Anolis sagrei: one gene and its partner. The protein of the gene in region 1 purifies or fractionates together with the protein of each later gene. This does not show direct contact. Links are inferred from orthologs where the notes say so. Each region holds a gene or a part of one and is shown on either strand. Other genes may lie near its edges.

Region 1 (9,133 bases):
CCCCCCAGAGTTCGACATGACTAGACTTAATGTCAGGGGAAAACCTTCACCTTTACTTTATTATTATTACAGTACCCTACAAGTTTTCTGTAAAGGACATTCAGCCACTGTCAGTGAAAGAAGAAATGCTTTGTGCACAATGTTTGCTCATAGAGAATGGCTCCTTCAGAATGACCCACTAATATCCAAAACAATCCTGTACAGTATATACTCTAGGTAACTGGCTCCATCCTAAACCTATAAATAGAGCAATTCCATAACTCAACAAAGTGCCAGTTCTGGGAAAGACTCCTTCAACATTTCAAATTAGGATTAGCTCAGAACATTAACTTTCTAAAGCTTACGAATGTTCCCCAAAAAACTTTCATTCCAGCTTTGCCAACTCATCAATAACAGGTACAATAAAGTAATCCTGGCCCAAGAAGGTTTTCACATACACCTTACTAATGTTACCATACACACTTCTGGAAACATAACCTGCATAGATTAGTTAATTAAAAAGAGATAACATGCATTAAAATTACTTGCCTCAAGTGGCCAGTTTATACATTCTAGTAGAGCAAGAGTGCTGCCTAGTTTCAAAATTTAACACAGCACAGTAATTTTTTTTATTTGTGTCTTGCCCCCTCCTGATCAAATTTTATAGCATGATTACAAGAGGTGCCTGTCTCTTTTTGAAAGACAAGATGTGAGCACCCGCAGTTGATACAGTACTTATGAGCAATGCTGAATGGTATCCCCTGTGCCATCCCTCGATCTCTAGTTTCAACGTGAAAACCTCTGGGTTCAGGATGGTCTTGAAATGGCAACTCTAACCTGGCCTTGTTTTTCCCATCTCTCCAACTGGGTCAGCAAGGACTGGTATTATGTTCCTTCAAAGCTGGAGTTAAAATTGCTGGAAGAAACATTAACAACCTTGGATGTGCAGATGATACCACTTTGATAGCTGAAAGGGAGGAGGAGCTAAGGAGCCTTCTAATCAAGGTGAAAGAAGAAAGTGCAAAAGCTGGGTTGCAATTAAATATCAAAAAAGCCAAGATTATGGCAACAAGACTGATTGATAACTGTCAAATAGAGGGAGAAAATGTGGAGGCAGTGACAGACTTTGTATTTCTAGGTGCAAAGATTACTGCCGATACAGATTGCAGCCAGGAAATCAGAAGACGTTTACTTCTTGGGAGGAAAGCAATGACCAATCTCGATAAAATAGTTAAGAGTAGAGACATCACACTGGCAAACAAGATCTGCATAGTTAAAGCAATAGTATTCCCCGTAGTAACCTACAGATGTGAGAGCTAGACCATAAGGAAGCCTGAGTGAAGGAAGATAGATACTTTTGAACTGTGATGCTGGAGGAAAATTCCGAGAGTGTCTTGGACCGCATGATCAGACCAGTGCATACTTCAGGAAATAAAGCCTGACTGCTCATTGGAGGGAAGGATATTAGAGGCCAAGATGAAGTACTTTGGCCACATAATGAGAATACAAGAAGGCTTGGAGAAGACAATGATGCTGGGGGAAATGGAAGGAAAAAAGAAGAGGGGCAGACCAAGGGCAAGATCAGTGGATGGTGTTCTTGAAGGAACTGGGACCTTGAAGGAGTTGGGAGTGGTGACATGGGCTGGTTTATGAGGTCATGTAGAGTCGGAAGCGACTGAACAAATAAACAATTATAGGGTGCCATGGCAGAGTTTATTCAGAGGAGGTTTCTATGGCCTCCTTCTGAGTGAGAAACTGAGACTTGCCCAAGATTGCCCAGTGAGTTTCCATCACTGAAGGGGAATAAGAATCCTGATCTCATTAAGTCCTAGAGACCAACAAGCAAACCACTATGCCATGATGTCTGCCACCATGTTGTTACAACCCTTTTCAAGAAAAGAATAAACTATTTGTGTTGTTGAATGCTTTCATGTCCAGAACCACTGAGTTGCTGTGAGTTTTTTGGGCTGTATGGCCACGTTCCAGTAGCATTATGTCCTGTAGCATTATGCTTGCATCTGGCTGGTATCTTCAAAGTTTCTGTTGGCAGTGAGGCAACAGAATATATTTGTGGAAGGTTCGGGGTGGGAAGCAAGTCTGTTGAAGCAAGTGTGAATGCTGCAGTCAGTGAACTTGAATAGCATGGGTAACCATGAAGCTGCAGTCACAGATGAAGGTGAAATGTTAGGAGAGAATGCCACTGGAACATGGCCATACAGCCCAAAAAACTCACAACAACCCATCAAAGAAACTCCCTTTTTGTTGATTGTCCAGAATAATATGCTAACTGAGGGATTATTGAACTCATATTTTACCCCCCCCCCCCCCCCCAGAAAACCCAATAACTCCCTCCAAGAGTCTAAACCAGTTTTGTCTACAAACTCTAGTCTTCTGGATATGTTGGACTTCAGTTCCCTGAAACTTTGGGATTCTGGGAGCTGATCTCCAAGAGCCCTTAGGAAACCAGCAGATTCTAGTGCCTTCTGCTGAGTGAAGCACTAGCCTATGGTGCCCGGTGTCGGCCTCAACACTGAGAATTCTAGCCTTTTCTGCCAAAGTGTATTGGAGCCCCCGGTGGTGCAATGGGTTAAACCCTGATGCAGGCAGGTCTGAAGACCAGCAGGATGGAGGTTCGAATCCGGGGAGAGCACGGATGAGCTCCCTTTGTCAGTTCGAGTTCCACATGCAGGGACATGAGAGAAACCTCCCACAAGGATGGTAGAAACATCAAAACATCTGGGTGTCCGCTGGGCAATGTCCTTGCAGACTGCCAATTCTCTCTACCAGAAGCAACTTGCAGTTTCTCAAGTCTCTACCACAAGGATGGTAGAAACATCAAAACATGCGGGTATTCCCTAAGCAACATCCTTGCAGACTGTTAATTCTCTATACCAGAAGCAACTTGCAGTTTCTCAAGTCACTCCTCACACACACACACAAAACCCAAACCACAACTCTCAGGCTGCATGGCAGTTGAAGTGGCACCATAGTGAGTGATAATATGATAGCTGGGTCCGGAAGCTCTGAACATTATGGAGATGCTGCAAAGGTAGCTGTGAATAAGGGAAGAGAGGAGGCAGAGTGAGAGCAAGGAGAATGAAGGAAGGATAGAAAGGAGGGGATGCTTAGAGTAAGGGTTAGGGTTAGGGCAAGGTTTAGGGTAAAGTTTAGGGTTTGGGTTAGGGTAAGGGTTAGGGGTTGGGTAAGGGGTTGCTTAGGCTTATGATATGGTTCAGGGTTAGGGTAAGGGTTAGGGTCTCACCATTATAGAACTCTTACATTCCTTCTATATTATCTGTCTCCAACATGGCTTACATTAGCTAAGTCTCTTTTGCACAAACAGTACTCCTGAAGGAGTGATGCAGCATCTCCGTAACGCTCAGAGCTTCCTGACCCAGCTATCATACTATTACCCCAGAGTGCAATAAGTCTACAGTAGAGATTTTTTTTTCGATGTCAGAGGCGACTTGAAAAACTGCCAAGTTGCTTCTGGTATGAGAGAATTGGCCGCCTGCAAGGACATTGCCCAGGGGACACCTGGATGTTTTGGTGTTTTACCATCCTTGAGGGCTTTCATCGCTATGATACTTCATCTTGTTGATGGGAAGCTTCCCACTGGAGTGGAAATCATCTATTGGGCAGATGGAAAGCTATTTGACCTCAGCAGACTGAAGTGCAAAACCAAGGTTACATCAACATGTGTTATAGAACTCCAATATGCTGATGATAGTGTCATCTATGTGCATTCAGAAGACAACCTACAAGCCACTCTAAGCACCTTCGCAGAAGCATACAAGAAGCTCAGTCTGTAATTGAACATTGAGAAAAGCAAAGTGCTCTTCCAGCAGTCACCAGCCAATCCCTCTCCAATGCCAGAAATACAGCTTAATGGTGTAACATTAGAAAATGTTGATCATTTCCGCTCCCTTGGCAGCCACTTCTCCACAAAAGTCAAAATTGACACTGAAATACAACACTGTCTGAGCTCTGTGAGTGCAGCATTTTTTCTGAATGAGGCAGAGAGTGTTTGAGGACCGGGACATCCGTAGGAATACCAAGGTGCTTGCTTATAAAGCTATTGTCCTCCCAACCCTGCTATATGCCTGCGAAATGTGGACTGTCTACTGATGTCACATGCAACTCCTGGAACAATTCCATCAGTGCTGTCCCCGGAAAATCCTGCAAATCTCTTGTGAAGACAAGCGGACAAATGTCAGCGTGCTGGAAGAAGCAAATAACACCAGCATTGAAACAATGGTCCTCTAACATCAACTCCGCTGGACCAGCCATGTTGTCCGGATGCTTGACCACCATCTCCCAAAGCAGTTGCTCTACTCTGAACTCAAGAACAGAAAACGGAATGTCAGAGGGCAGGAAAAGAGATTTAAAGATGGGCTCAAAGCCAACCTTAAAAACTCTGGCATGAACTGGGAAGCCTTGGCCCTTGAGCGCTCCAGCTAGAGGTCAGCTGTGACCAGCAGTGCTGTAGAATTCAAAGAGGCACAAATGGAGGGCGAAAGAGAGAAATGTGTCAAGAGGAAGGTGCGTCATGCCAACCCCGACCGGGACTGCTTTCCATCTGGAAACCAATGCCCTCACGGCGGGAGAAGATGCAGATCAAGAATAGGTCTCCACAGTCACCTACGGATCCACCGCCACTACACCAATCCTACTCCGACAATGAGGGATCCTTACCTAAGTAAGGAAGACTTCTGGGTTGTTGTAAGTTTTTTCGGGCTATATGGCCATGGTCTAGAGGCATTCTCTCCTGACGTTTCGCCTGCATCTATGGCAAGCATCCTTAGAGGTAGTGAGGTCCTCTCATGTCCCCGCATGGGGAGCTGGAGCTGACAAAGGGAGCTCATCTGCGCTCTCCCCGGATTCGAACCTCAGTCTTCAGTCCTGCGGGCAGAAGGGTTTAACCTAGGCATCCTCAAACTGCCTAGCTGTTTGTTCCCCCAACTCCCAAAAGGCCTAACGAGCTTGTTCAATTGTCAGGAATTTTGGGAGTTGAAGGCCTAAAAAGCTGGAGGGCCGGAGTTTGAGGGTGCCTGGCTTCACCCATTGCGTCACCGGGAGATGCACCCTAAACTTGGCAGGAACAAGGGTGTCCCTTAGGCTGGAAGTTTTCCCTCCCGACTTAGAAGTCCCGGGGAGCTTTTCTTTGGCGCGCAAAGCGGACGCTTCTGTCCGGCCTGAAACGAGGCCCTGGTAGCCAGGGAGGGGGCTTTCCAGAGGCGGGAGGCATCCCTTCTTGCCCTCGGGCTTCCTTGCCAATCTCCTCAGGCTCCCCGCGGGCAGGAGGCGCTGAGGGGGAGGAGCCGGGCTGGAGGGGGGCTTCCCTAGGAGTGCCCAGCCCCGGGAGAGAAAGAAAGAAAGAGAGGGGAGACCCGGCTTTCTCCTTCCCTCCGCTCCTCCTCCTTGAAGTCCAGCCCCTCGCCTGGTCCGGCGAAGAGGCGAGCGAGGAGAAGGAGCCCCTCGCCCTGCCTTGCCTTTGCCTCCTTCCTTCCTTCCCTTCAAGCAGCAGAAACAGCAGCAGCTGCACCAAGGAGCGTTGCCAAAGGCTTCTCTAAGGAAGCTGAAGATCAAACAGCCCAGCATTGGAAGGGAAGGGAAAAGGAAGGAGGGAGGCAGGGGGGAAGCGAAGGCAGGCAGGCATCTCCAGAGAAAGAGACACATAAACAAACACAACAAACACTCCGGGAACTAACTGCCTGAGGGGACTGACTCCATTCCCTCGCGCTTCCCCTCAACGCAGTCCTAGGCTTCTCTTGGAAGGGACTCTGCAAGGACTTCGCCGGCATGCCTGCAGCGCCGGGAGACATTCTCCCCTTTGATACAAACCCTGCCTATTGAAAGCTCGCCTTCTGCAAAGATCTGCAAAGTTTGGGGTTGTCCTATCTCCACCGGAGCAGGAAAGCAAAGGCGGGGGCGAGGAGGCACCCCAGGAAATCCTTCTGGAGGAATACATCCAAGGATACATCTGGACGGAGTGTGCGTTTCCTGGTTTTCCTGGACGGGACCAAGATGCTGTCCTACAGCGTCCTGGATGCTAACGTGGTGGACGTGGAGAAAAGGAGAAGCCCTTCCAAGCATTATGTGAGTAGAGGGGAGCCATCAAACAATCAGCATCATCACTGGGTTGTTGTGGGTTTTTCAGGCAATGTTCTGGAAGCATTCTTTCCTGACGTTTCGCCTCCATCTATGGCAGGTATCTTCAGAGGTTGTGAGGTCTGCTGGAAACTAGGAAAACTAAGAAACTGCAGATATATAAACTACATTTTTCTAGTTTCCAACAGACCTCACAACTTCTGAGGATGCCTGCCATAGATGTAGACAAAATGTCAGGAGAGAATGCTTCTGGAACATGGCCATATAGCCTGAAAAACCTACAACAACCCAGTGATTCTGGCCATGAAAGCCTTCGACAGTACAAATAATCAAAATCGTTGCACAATATTGCCATGCTCTAGAAGCATTCTCTCCTGACGTTTCGCCTGCATCTATGGCAGGCATCATCAGAGATTGAGAGGTCTGTTGGAAACTAGGAAAATGGGGTGTATATATCTGCAGTTTCCTAGTTTCCTGACATTTCGCCTGCATCTATGGCAGGTATCCTCAGAAGATGCCTGTCATAGATCATCAAACTACAAGCAAGGAGATTTCAAACTACAAGAAAGGAGGTTCCATCTGAACATCAGGAAGAAGTTCCTGACTGTGAGAGGTGTTCAGCAGTGGAACTCTCTGCCCCGGGTTGTGATGGAGGCTCCTTCTTTGGAGGCTTTTGAACAGAGGCTGGGTGGCCATGTGTCGGGGGTTCTTTGAATGCAATTTTCCTGCTTCTTGACAGGGGGTTGGACTGGATGGCCCATGAAGTCTCTTCCAACTCTATGGTTCTATGATTTTATGAAGAGTCTTGTTGGAAACTAGGAAACTGCAGATATATAAATTTTCCTAGCTTCCAACAGACCTCACAACCTCTGAGGATGCTTGCCATAGATGCAGGCGAAACATCAGGAGAGAATGCTTCTGGAACATGGCCATATAGCGCGATAAACCTACAACAACCCAATTATTCCGGCCATGAAAGCCTTCGACAATACAAATAATCATAATCATTGGGCTGGTGTAGGTTTTTTAGGCTATATTGGAAAAATAGGAAACTGCAGATATATAAACCCAATTTTCCTAGTTTCCAACAGACCTCACAACCTCTGAGGATGCCTGCCACAAATGCAGGCAAAACGTCAGGAGAGAATGCTTCTAGAACATTGCCATATAGCCCGACAAACCTACAACAACCCAGTGATTCTGGTCATGAAAGCCTTTGATCATAATCGTAATCATAAGATGCATGCCATGGCAGGGGAGAGGGGTATCTCCCTTGAAGCTTTTCTGGTGGGACTGAAGGCTGCAAGTGCCAAAGAGATCTTTTGAGAATGGGGAAGGTGGGAGGAAGTACTTTATTTTATCCTTTTCCCCAGTCCCAGACCTCTTGGCATAGTGTGATGGTAACGCTTGACAAGCCTCAGAGGAAAGCAAGAGCAAACCCCCTCTGAGCCAATTCTGCCAAGTGATGCCTTCACCTTCGGGTTGTCACAATTCAGAAAGGACTTGAAGGCACACAAATCAAAAGCACAGCAGCTTTGGCAAGTGATGTCACCATCCCTGTCCCTTGAGAATGCGCTTGTGTGTAATCAATAACAACAACAAAGCCTCGTGACACCTTCCATTGGAGATTGGTGCATTTATGATGACATAACTTGCAACTGGCATTGGTGGCTTTCTCAAGTGCAGACAGTGCCTGCAACTCATATGTTTGACTATTTAAAGAGCCCCAAGATACAGGGTTGATGTGAGTTTTCTGGCCTGTATGGCCATGTTCCAGAAACATTCTCTCCTGACGTTTCACCCACATCTATGGCAAGCATGCCTAGAGGTTGTGAGTTCTGTTGGAAACTAGGCAAGTGTGGTATATATATATGTGGAATGCCCAGGGTGGGAAACAAACTCTTACCAGTTTGAGGCAGGTGTGAATGTTGCAATTGGCCACCTTGATCAGCATTGAATGGACTTGCAGTTTCAAAGCCTGGATGCTGCCTACCTGGGGGAATCCTTTGTTGGGAGTTGTTAAAGGTAAAGGTTTCCCCTAATATAATGTCTAGTTGTGTCTGAATCTGGGGAGTGGTGCTCATCCCCATTTATAAGCCGAAAAGCTGCCGTTGTCTGTAGACACCTCCAAGGCCATGTGGCCAGATTGACTGCATGGAGCACCGTGCCCTTCCCGCCAGTCCGGTACCTATTGATCTACTCACATTACATGTTTTCAAACTTCTAGTTGTTAGCTGGCCCTGATTATGTCATGTCTGGAAGTCTTCTGTTTTCTGAGTGTTCTTCTTTATTTACTGTCCTGATTTCAGAGTTTTTAAAATACTGGTAGTCAGATTTTGTTCATTTTCATTGTTTTTTCCTTTCTGTTGAAATTGTCCACATGCCTGTGGATTTCAGTGGCTTCTCTGTGTAGTTTGACATGGTAGTTGTGAGAGTGCTCCAGCATTTCTGTGTTCTCAAATAATATGCTGTGTCCAGGTTGGATACCTGCTATAGATGCACATGAAATGTCAGGAGAGAATACTTCTGGAACAAGGACATACAGCCTGGAAATATGACAACAGCCTAGTGATTCTGGCCATGAAAGCCTTCGACAACACAGCTCCAAATTTTATTTGGAGATTGAATTATGTGTGTGAGAGAGCTCATGAGTTGAGCACCAAAACTGAACCAAGTTTCTGTGTGAGGCAAGTGATTTTCCTAGGCAGTTTCAAAGGACAGACAAAAAAGATACCCTGTGACTGAATTATGCAAGTGGCACTGTCAGCCGCATTGAATAATCCTGTCCCAAATAAAGGATCTCTGTCATAACAGGACGTTTTTCCTGATTTCTGTTCTGCATTTAGTGGCACAGTAAGATTTGATGCAGGAAAGTGGACTAGACTGGATGATGTACTGAGCAGCACTGTGTTTGGCATGGCAGTGCCCATTTAATATTCAGGCACAAGAATGCTGTCCTCTAGTCAAATTGGCTGACCATTATTTGCTCTTCCTGTATACAGTGAGGCACATCTGGGCCATCTGGGTTTCCTTGATGCAGCTT
Region 2 (8,377 bases), on another chromosome or scaffold:
TCCAAACCATCTAGAGCAGGGGTCCTCAAACTATGGCCCGGGGGCCGGATATGGCCCTCCAAGGTCAATTATCTGGCCCTCGCTCAGGTTCAACCTAAGTCTGAAACGACTTGAAAGTACACAACAACAACAACAACAATTTTATCTCATCAGCCAAAAGCAGGCCCACACTTTTGATTGAAATACTAATAAGTTTACATTTGTTGAAATTGTTCTTCATTTTAATTATTGTTGTATTGTTTTAAAGTTGTTGTTTTTTTGCACTACAAATAAGATTTGAATGCACACAACAACAATCCTATCTCATGAGCCAAAAGCAGGCCTATGATTCCCACTGAAATACTACTAAGTTTATTTTTGTTAAAATTGTTCTTCATTGAGTCCCTTGGGGAGATAGAGTGGAATATAAATATATTATTATTATTATTATTATTATTATTATTATTATTATATTGTTTTTAAGTGTTTTTTGCACTACAAATAAGATATGTGCAGTGTGCATAAGAATTCATTCACTTTTTTTCTCCAAATTATGATCCGGACCAGGCCCGTAGCCAGGATTTCGATTGGGGGGGGGGGTGTGAGTTTTTTTCAGGGGGGAGTTTCGGGGGGGGGGGCTGAGTTTCGGGGGGGCTGAGTCTGAGTGAAAGAGGGTCTACCCTAGCAAACCTTTTGTATTGTTACCCCAATACCCCCATGCATATGGGATATATTGATTATGGTGATCAGATCATGATATGAATAAACATAACCGTTTAAATAATTCACCAGTAAGGCCTTTTTGCGAACCACCATGTGAATTTCGGGGGGGGGGGGGGGGGGCTGAAGCCCCTCAAGCCCCCCCCCCCCCCCGAAATTCACATGGTGGTTCGCAAAAAGGCCTTACTGGTGAATTATTTAAACGGTTATGTTTATTCATATCATGATCTGATCACCATAATCAATATATCCCATATGCCTGATCCCATATGCCCGGCTACATGCCTGATCCGGACCTCCAACTGTGTCCTGGCCCTCTGTTTAAAATGTTTGAGGACCCCTGATCTAGAGATCCAATGGTAGATTTCTTTTGGCCTTCTTCCCACTTTGGGGGGGGGGGGTTTACAGGATAAATTGGAAAATGCTGGGACCTAAAACAATAAACTGTCCTGAAAAGAACTCCACAGTACTTCATTTGGAAGGAGGAAACAATGTGGATGAATTCATCAGCCTAAATCCCATGATAATCCCAGCTAGAATAGGCTCACTGAACTGATGGAATTTTGGGCATCTACATGTAGAATTAGTACTGTTTGACACCACCTTGACTGCTGTAAATCAATGCTATGAAATCATCAGTATTGTAGTGTTATAAGGCCTTTACATTTCTCTGCCAATGAGTGCTGAGGCAACTCCCAGGCTTCTATATTGAGAGATGGCAGTTAAAATGATGACGAACTGCATTAATTCTACAGTTTTGATCAGTGATTCCCAAGCTGTGGTCCGTGGAAGTGGAACTCTCTGCCCTGGAGTGTGGTGGAGGCTCCTTCTTTGGAGGCTTTATAGCAGAGGATGGATGGCCATCTCTCGAGGGTGCTTTGAATGCAATTTTCCTGTTTCTTGACAGGGGGTTGGACTGGATGGCCCATGAGGTCTCTTCAACTCAATGATTCTATGATTCAACTAGCGGTCCCCTGCCACGCGTTGCTGTGGCACAGTCTGGTGATCTGGGAAATAAAGTAATGAGAAAGTATTGGTTTCCAATATATGTAATTTCTTTATGCTTGTGGTTAACAGTATTTCTTGCTGTTTCTTTGTCAGTGTTGATGTGGAGATGGGGTTGCCTACTCTAGAACATGCAACATATAATTGTCCTTCTTTAGGGGTCTCTTTCAAATCTATGATACTACATCTCTCTGTGTGTGAATCATATCCTATCTATATCTATGGCTGGACGGGTCTTTGTCAGGAGGGCTTTGATTACATTTTCTTGCCCTGGTGGCCTTAAGTATTTTCTATTGGTAATGGGGGTTCTGTATGGGAAGTCTGCACCAATTCTGACGTTCGTGGGGTTCAGAATGCTCTTTAATTGTAGGTGAACTGTAAATCCCAGTAACTACAACTCCCAAATGTCAAGGTCTATTTCCTCCAAACTCCATCTGTGTTCATATTTGGGCATATGAAATATTAACGCCAAGTTTGGTCCAGATCCATCATTGAATCCACAGTGCTCTCTGGATGTAGGTGAACTACAACTCCCAAACTCAAAGTCAATGCCCACCAAACCTTTCTAGTGTTTTCTATTGGTCATGGGAGTCTGTGTGCTACGTTTGGTTCAATCCCATCATTGGTAGAGTTCAGAATGCTCTTTGATTGTAGGTTAACTATAAATCCCGGAAACTACAACTCCCAAATGTCAAGGTCTATTTCCTCCAAACGCCATCTGTGTTCACATTTGGGCATATGAACTATTCATGTCCAGTTTGGTCCAGATCCATCATTGTTTTGAGTCCATAGTGCTCTCTGGATGTGGATGAACTAAAACTCTCAAACTCAAGGTCAATGCTCACCAAACCCTTCTACTGTTTTCTGTTGGTCATGGGAGTCCTGTGTGCCACGTTTAGTTCAGTTCCATCATTGGTGGAGTTCAGAATGCTTTTTGATTGTAGGTGAACCAAAAATCCCAGCAAGTACAACTCCCAAATGACAAAATCAATTTTTAAAGCGAAAGACATACATTGAGTTGTTTGTTGTATGCTTGGCGGTTCTGTGTGGGAAGTTTGCCCAAATTCTGTCGTTGGTGGGGTTTAGCATGCTCTTTGATTGTAGGTGAACTATAAATCCCAGTAACTACAACTCCCAAATGTCAAGGTCTATTCCCCCTAAACTCCATCTGTGTTTGTATTTGGGGATATGGAGTATTCGTGCCAAGTTTGGTCCAATCCATCATTGTTTGAGTCCACAGTGCTCTCTGGATGTAGGTGAACTACAACTCCCAAACTCAAAGTCGGTGCCCACCAAACCCTTCTAGTGTTTTCAGTTGGTCATGGGAGTCCTGTATGCCATGTTTGGTTCAATTCCATCATTGGTAGTGTACAGAATGCTCTTTGATTGTAGGTGAACTATAAATCCCAGTAAGTACAACTCCCAAATGACAAAATCATTTTTTTTAAAGAGAAAGACATACATTGAGTTGTTTGGTGTATGCTTGGCGGTTCTGTGTGGGAAGTTTGCCCAAATTCTGTCATTGGTGGGGTTCAGCATGCTCTTTAATTGTAGGTGAACTATAAATCCCAGTACGTACAACTCCCAAATGTCAAGGTCTGTTTCCCCCAAACTCCATATGTGTTTGTATTTGGGTATATGGAGTATTCGTGCCAAGTTTGGTCCAGATCCATCATTGTTTGAGTCCACAGTGCTCTCTGGATGTGGGTGAACTACAACTCCCAAACGTAAGGTCAATGCCCACCAAACCCTTCTAGTGTTTTTTTTTTTTTGGTCATGGGAGTCCTGTATGCAGGGACGGCTCAATCATTACGCAAAGTAAGCTCTTGCAGTATAGTTGGTTTTACCCAGGGATGCTCTTGATGCTTTCTTGGGGGAAAATAGACCTTGACATATGCGAGTTGTAGTTACTGGGATGTATAGTTCACCTAAAATCAAAGAGCATTCTGAACTCCACCAATGATGGAATTGAACCAAATATGGCACACAGAACTCCAACGACGAACAGAAAATATATATCAGTGATTGGTGGGGGGGGGGGGGGGCGCCAAAATACTGTTTGCTTACCATTGAAAATTACCTAGTGCCGCCTCTGCCTGTATGCCATGTTTGGTTCAATTCCATCACTGGTAGAGTTCAGAATGTTCTTTGATTGTAGGTGAACTATAAATCCCAGCCAGTACAACTCCCAAGTGACAAAATCAATTTTTTAAGCGAAAGACATACATTGAGTTGTTTGGTGTATGCTTGGCGGTTCTGTGTGGGAAGTTTCCCCAAATTCTGTCCTTGGTGGGGTTTAGCATGCTCTTTGATTGCAGGTGAACTATAAATCCCAGTAACTACCACTCCCAAATGTTAAGGTCTATTCCCCCCAAACTCCATCTGTGTTCCTAGTTGGGCATATGGAATATTCGTGCCAAGTTTGGTCCAGATCCATCACTGTTTAAGTCCACAGTGCTCTCTGGGTGTAGGAGAACTACAACTCCAACCCAGTTCAAAGCAGATAATGTGGGATTTGATTGAACTGTGTGGAAGGGGCAGGGAAAAGGCAGAAAGAGGGGGAAAAGAAAGCAAGAGTGAGGAGAGACTGAACCCCCAACCTTGAAATTAATTCAAACTCTAGAGAAGATCAAAGCCTCCCTTTTTGAGACTTCCCCAAAATATTATTTTTTTGAGAGAGGAGACAAGGAGAAACCTCAAAGTAAACTGACTTCAAAAACGAGCTGATTCCTCCCCCCCCCCCCATAACAGCTGTTGGTGGCTCCCTCCCAAGTGAGAAGAAATCAATTGCCAACCCCCCCCCCCCCCAATATCCAGGGGAGGGGAGGAAGAGAGGGGAAAGACACCCCCCTTTTTTTGCACTGATCTGCTCCTCCCTAAAAGGCAGGCAAGGCGAACCAATCGACGTTTGTGGCTGTGTGTGGCTCATGAAATCCTGATTTTTTAAACACACACACACACATACAGAGGAAGGTTTGGTTGCAAACCTTCTTGCAAGGAGTAAGGGCGGAGAGGGGGGGATCTGTGGAGAGAGAGAGAGAAAGAGAAAAGGAAGGGAGGGAGGAAGAAGAAGAGGAGGAAAAGGGAGGGAGGGAGGAAGAAGAGGAGGAGGAGCAGACCCTCCAACGTGGAAAAGCTCTCCAGCCTCCTCTCTGGTCCCTTCCTGGCCAAGACTTGTTGCAAAGGACCTGCCTGCATGCTGAGGATCCACTCGGGATGTGTTTCTAATGGGCGATGGGGGCTGCCAGGGGCTCGACACTGGGGGGCCGCCCTGGGCTGGCTTTTGGGGGGGACTGAAGGAGGCAGGGGAGCCCTGCAGCCCAGGCATCATGCAGAGGAGCAGCCTGGTGGGCATGCCCAGCCCGGAGCCCAGCGGATCCTACTCGCAGCAGTTCAAAGCCATGAGGTTTTCCTACCACATCGAAGGGGGCGCCCCCTCTGCCTCGCCTGCGCCCCACAACCGAGCCGGTAAGCCCCAGCAGTGGGGATCGGGGCGTGTGTGGATGGAGCCAAGCCCCCCCTGTCTTATCTCGCCCATCGATGGAGGGGATGGGCTGAGGCCAGGGCTTGGGGTGGCCTCTGAATTGTGAAAGGGAAGTCTGCTCCAATGGTTCAAGCTTCCGGGTTCAGGGGAGTGGGAGACAGTGGGAGAAAGGGGGGAGGAGGGAGGCCCTTCTACCCTGCCCTATATCATCCCAGGATCTGATCCCAGATGATCTGGCAGTTCAAAGCAAATAACCTGGGATGTATGGGCAGTGTAGAAGGGGCTGAAATACCTGGGGGCATCAGGGCCTTGGGATGTGCCATCTGCCTACATTGACACCACTTGAGCTGTCAAGGCTCACATCTGGGGAATCATGGGATTTGTAGTTGAACAACAATCACAACAACAGAGGAAGGAATCCAGCTTCAAAATCAATTTTCTATATTATTATTATTATTATTATTATTATGGTATTATTGTGGTTTGGCGGCAACAACAACAGAGGAAGGAATCCAGCTTCCAAAGTAAATTTTCTATATTATTATTATTATTATTATTATTATTATTATTGTGGTTTTGCAACAACAACAGAGCAAAGAATCCAGTTCAAAATCAATTTTCTATATTATTATTATTATTATTATTGTATTATTATTGGGGTTTGGCAACAACAACAACAGAGCAAGGAATCCAGCTTCAAAATCAAATTTCTATATTATTATTATTATTATTATTATTGTAGTTTCGCAACAACAGAGCAAGGAATCCAGCTTCCAAATCATTTATTATTATTATTATTATTGTAGTTTGGCAGCAACAACAACAGAGCAAGGAAGCCAGCTCAAAATCAATTTTCTATATTATTATTATTATTATTATTATTGTGGTTTGGCAACAAGAGAGCAAGGAATCCAGCTTCAAAATCAATTTTCTATATTATTATTATTATTATTATGGTTTGGCAACAACGACAGAGCAAGGAATCCAGCTTCAAAATCAATTTTCTATATTATTATTATTATTATTATTATTGTATTATTGTAGTTTGGCAACAACAACAACAAAAGACCAAGGAATCCAGCTTCCAAATCGATTTTCTATATTATTATTATTATTATTGTAGTTTGGCAACAACAACAACAGAGCAAGGAATCCACCTTAAAATCAAATTTCTATATTTATATTATTATTGTTATTATTATTATTATTATTATTATTGTAGTTTGGCAACAACAACAGAGCAAGGAATCCAGCTTCCAAATCAATTTTCTATATAATAATAATAATAATAATAATAATAATAATAATATAATAATAATAATAATTGTAGTTTGGCAATAACAACAATAGAGCAAGGAACCCAGCTTCCAAATTAATTTTCTATATTATTATTATTATTATTGTAGTTTGGCAGCAACAACAGAGCAAGGAATCCAGCTTCCAAATCAATTTTCTATATTATTATTGTAGTTTGGCAATAACAGAGCAAGGAACCCAGCTTCAAAATCAATTTTCTATTTATTATTATTATTATTATTATTTGTTTGCCAACAACAACAGAGCAAGAAATCCAGCTTCAAAATCAATTTTCTATTTATTATTATTATTATTAATTTTATTTCCTACCGACCTCATGTTACGGGCAAAACACACAAACATTACAAAAATTCCATAAACATATACATTACAATGTAGTTCTTTAAAAGATACATATTAAAAACATATTTCTATAAAAACACGTCTTGAAATGTATTTCTATCAAATACATATGAAATACACAGGATAGATTAGAACACAGGACACGAATTTAAAATTAATCTCCGGGGTCATGTAACTAACTATGTTTGTAGTTTAGACTTATATGGGATCAGAGCAGAGATGTGTTGTATAGTCTGATATGTAATTGTTGTGTGGTATGACTGTGTTTGTGTATGTATCAGTGTTGTGTTTTGTTTTTGTTTTTTGTATTGTTGAAGGCTTTTATGACCGGAATTACTGGGTTGTTGTAGGTTTTTTCGGGCTGTATGGCCATGTTCTAGAGGCATTTTCTCCTGACGTTTCGCCTGCATCTATGGCAAGCATCCTCAGAGGTAGTGAGGTCTTTTTTTGGTGTGTGGCTTCTTTCTGTTAATTAAAAAAAAACTATTGAATCATATTAATACTAATATTTGCCCACCTCTTCTTGGGGCAGGGTAAAACATTGTTAACACAAAGAGATAAGGCGTGTACGTATCAATATTTTATTTGTGCTTTTCTCCTGATATTTTTTAAAAAAATTTAAACTAACAACAACAACCATCATCATAAATTATCTGCCTCCCCATGAGATGGGGTATTTATTTATTTATTTCGGGCTTTTATATCCCGTCCTATCTCAACTTCCGCAGAGGGACTCAGGACGGGTACAACATTGTGAAAAGAAAGAGATAAAGCGCTATTAAAATACATATAATAAGATACACAGAGTTAAAATGCAGGTTCAGATTCACAAGTTGACATTGACTGGGGAGGCTTGCAGGAAGAGATGAGTTTTGACCCTTCCTTGACACACTCTTACTCCGATGATCCCATAACTGGTGTCAAACTGCATCCGTTTTATAGTGTAAACGCATCCATAGCTGGAGCAAATGTGGATTGTTCTCTTTTGGGGGATTGTCCGAAGCTGCAGCCTCTTTAGGTCCTAAATGAGTGTGTGAACTTGTTTTGTCTTCTGCCCTGTCCTGTCAAAGGTGCCCAAAACTATCCCCGAAACCCTAAAATATAGGAGGAAGGACGTGGCCAGTTTTGTGGTCTTTTCTCTCAAAGCGGTTGCAGGGGTACAACCTACCCTTCCCACTTTTCCTTCAGACCCCAATGTAGTCTTTTCCAGAGAATAATTTCTCTATGATGATGATGATGATGATGATGATTATTATTATTATTTGCAACCCTGCCATTTTGAGTCTTGGTCCCCCCCCCCCCCCAAAAAGCCCAACCTCTGCAACAAGAAGCCAGCTTTTAAAACAAAGAGGAATGCAGTTGAATTGTTACAGAGGAGATTCGGGATTGGGGGAGGCTTTCCAGAGCGTTCACTTCTGAGCAGGCATCTCCGCCCCCTAATTCCACCCCATCATCTTGTCAAAGACTCCTGATGCCTTGGAGTGAAATCCAGACTGCTGTCACTTTGCTCTCTCGGATGCAAGACTTTCG

Evidence for each region.
Region 2: the proteins of SH3PXD2A (region 1) and FGD1 purify together in Homo sapiens (affinity purification with mass spectrometry; 3 studies listed by BioGRID and IntAct, with this or other methods). This does not show direct contact. The link is inferred for Anolis sagrei from reciprocal best matches to the Homo sapiens genes SH3PXD2A and FGD1.

Annotation. Positions count from the first base shown.
Region 1 is NC_090023.1:213,449,290-213,458,422, forward strand, and holds the start of SH3PXD2A (SH3 and PX domain-containing protein 2A), read left to right. Parts: upstream 1-5,353; 5' UTR 5,354-6,006; coding exon 6,007-6,078; intron 6,079-9,133. UniProt on the Homo sapiens protein: Adapter protein involved in invadopodia and podosome formation, extracellular matrix degradation and invasiveness of some cancer cells. Binds matrix metalloproteinases (ADAMs), NADPH oxidases (NOXs) and phosphoinositides.
Region 2 is NC_090022.1:173,375,133-173,383,509, reverse strand, and holds the start of FGD1 (FYVE, RhoGEF and PH domain-containing protein 1), read left to right. Parts: upstream 1-4,587; 5' UTR 4,588-4,931; coding exon 4,932-5,172; intron 5,173-8,377. UniProt on the Homo sapiens protein: Activates CDC42, a member of the Ras-like family of Rho- and Rac proteins, by exchanging bound GDP for free GTP. Plays a role in regulating the actin cytoskeleton and cell shape.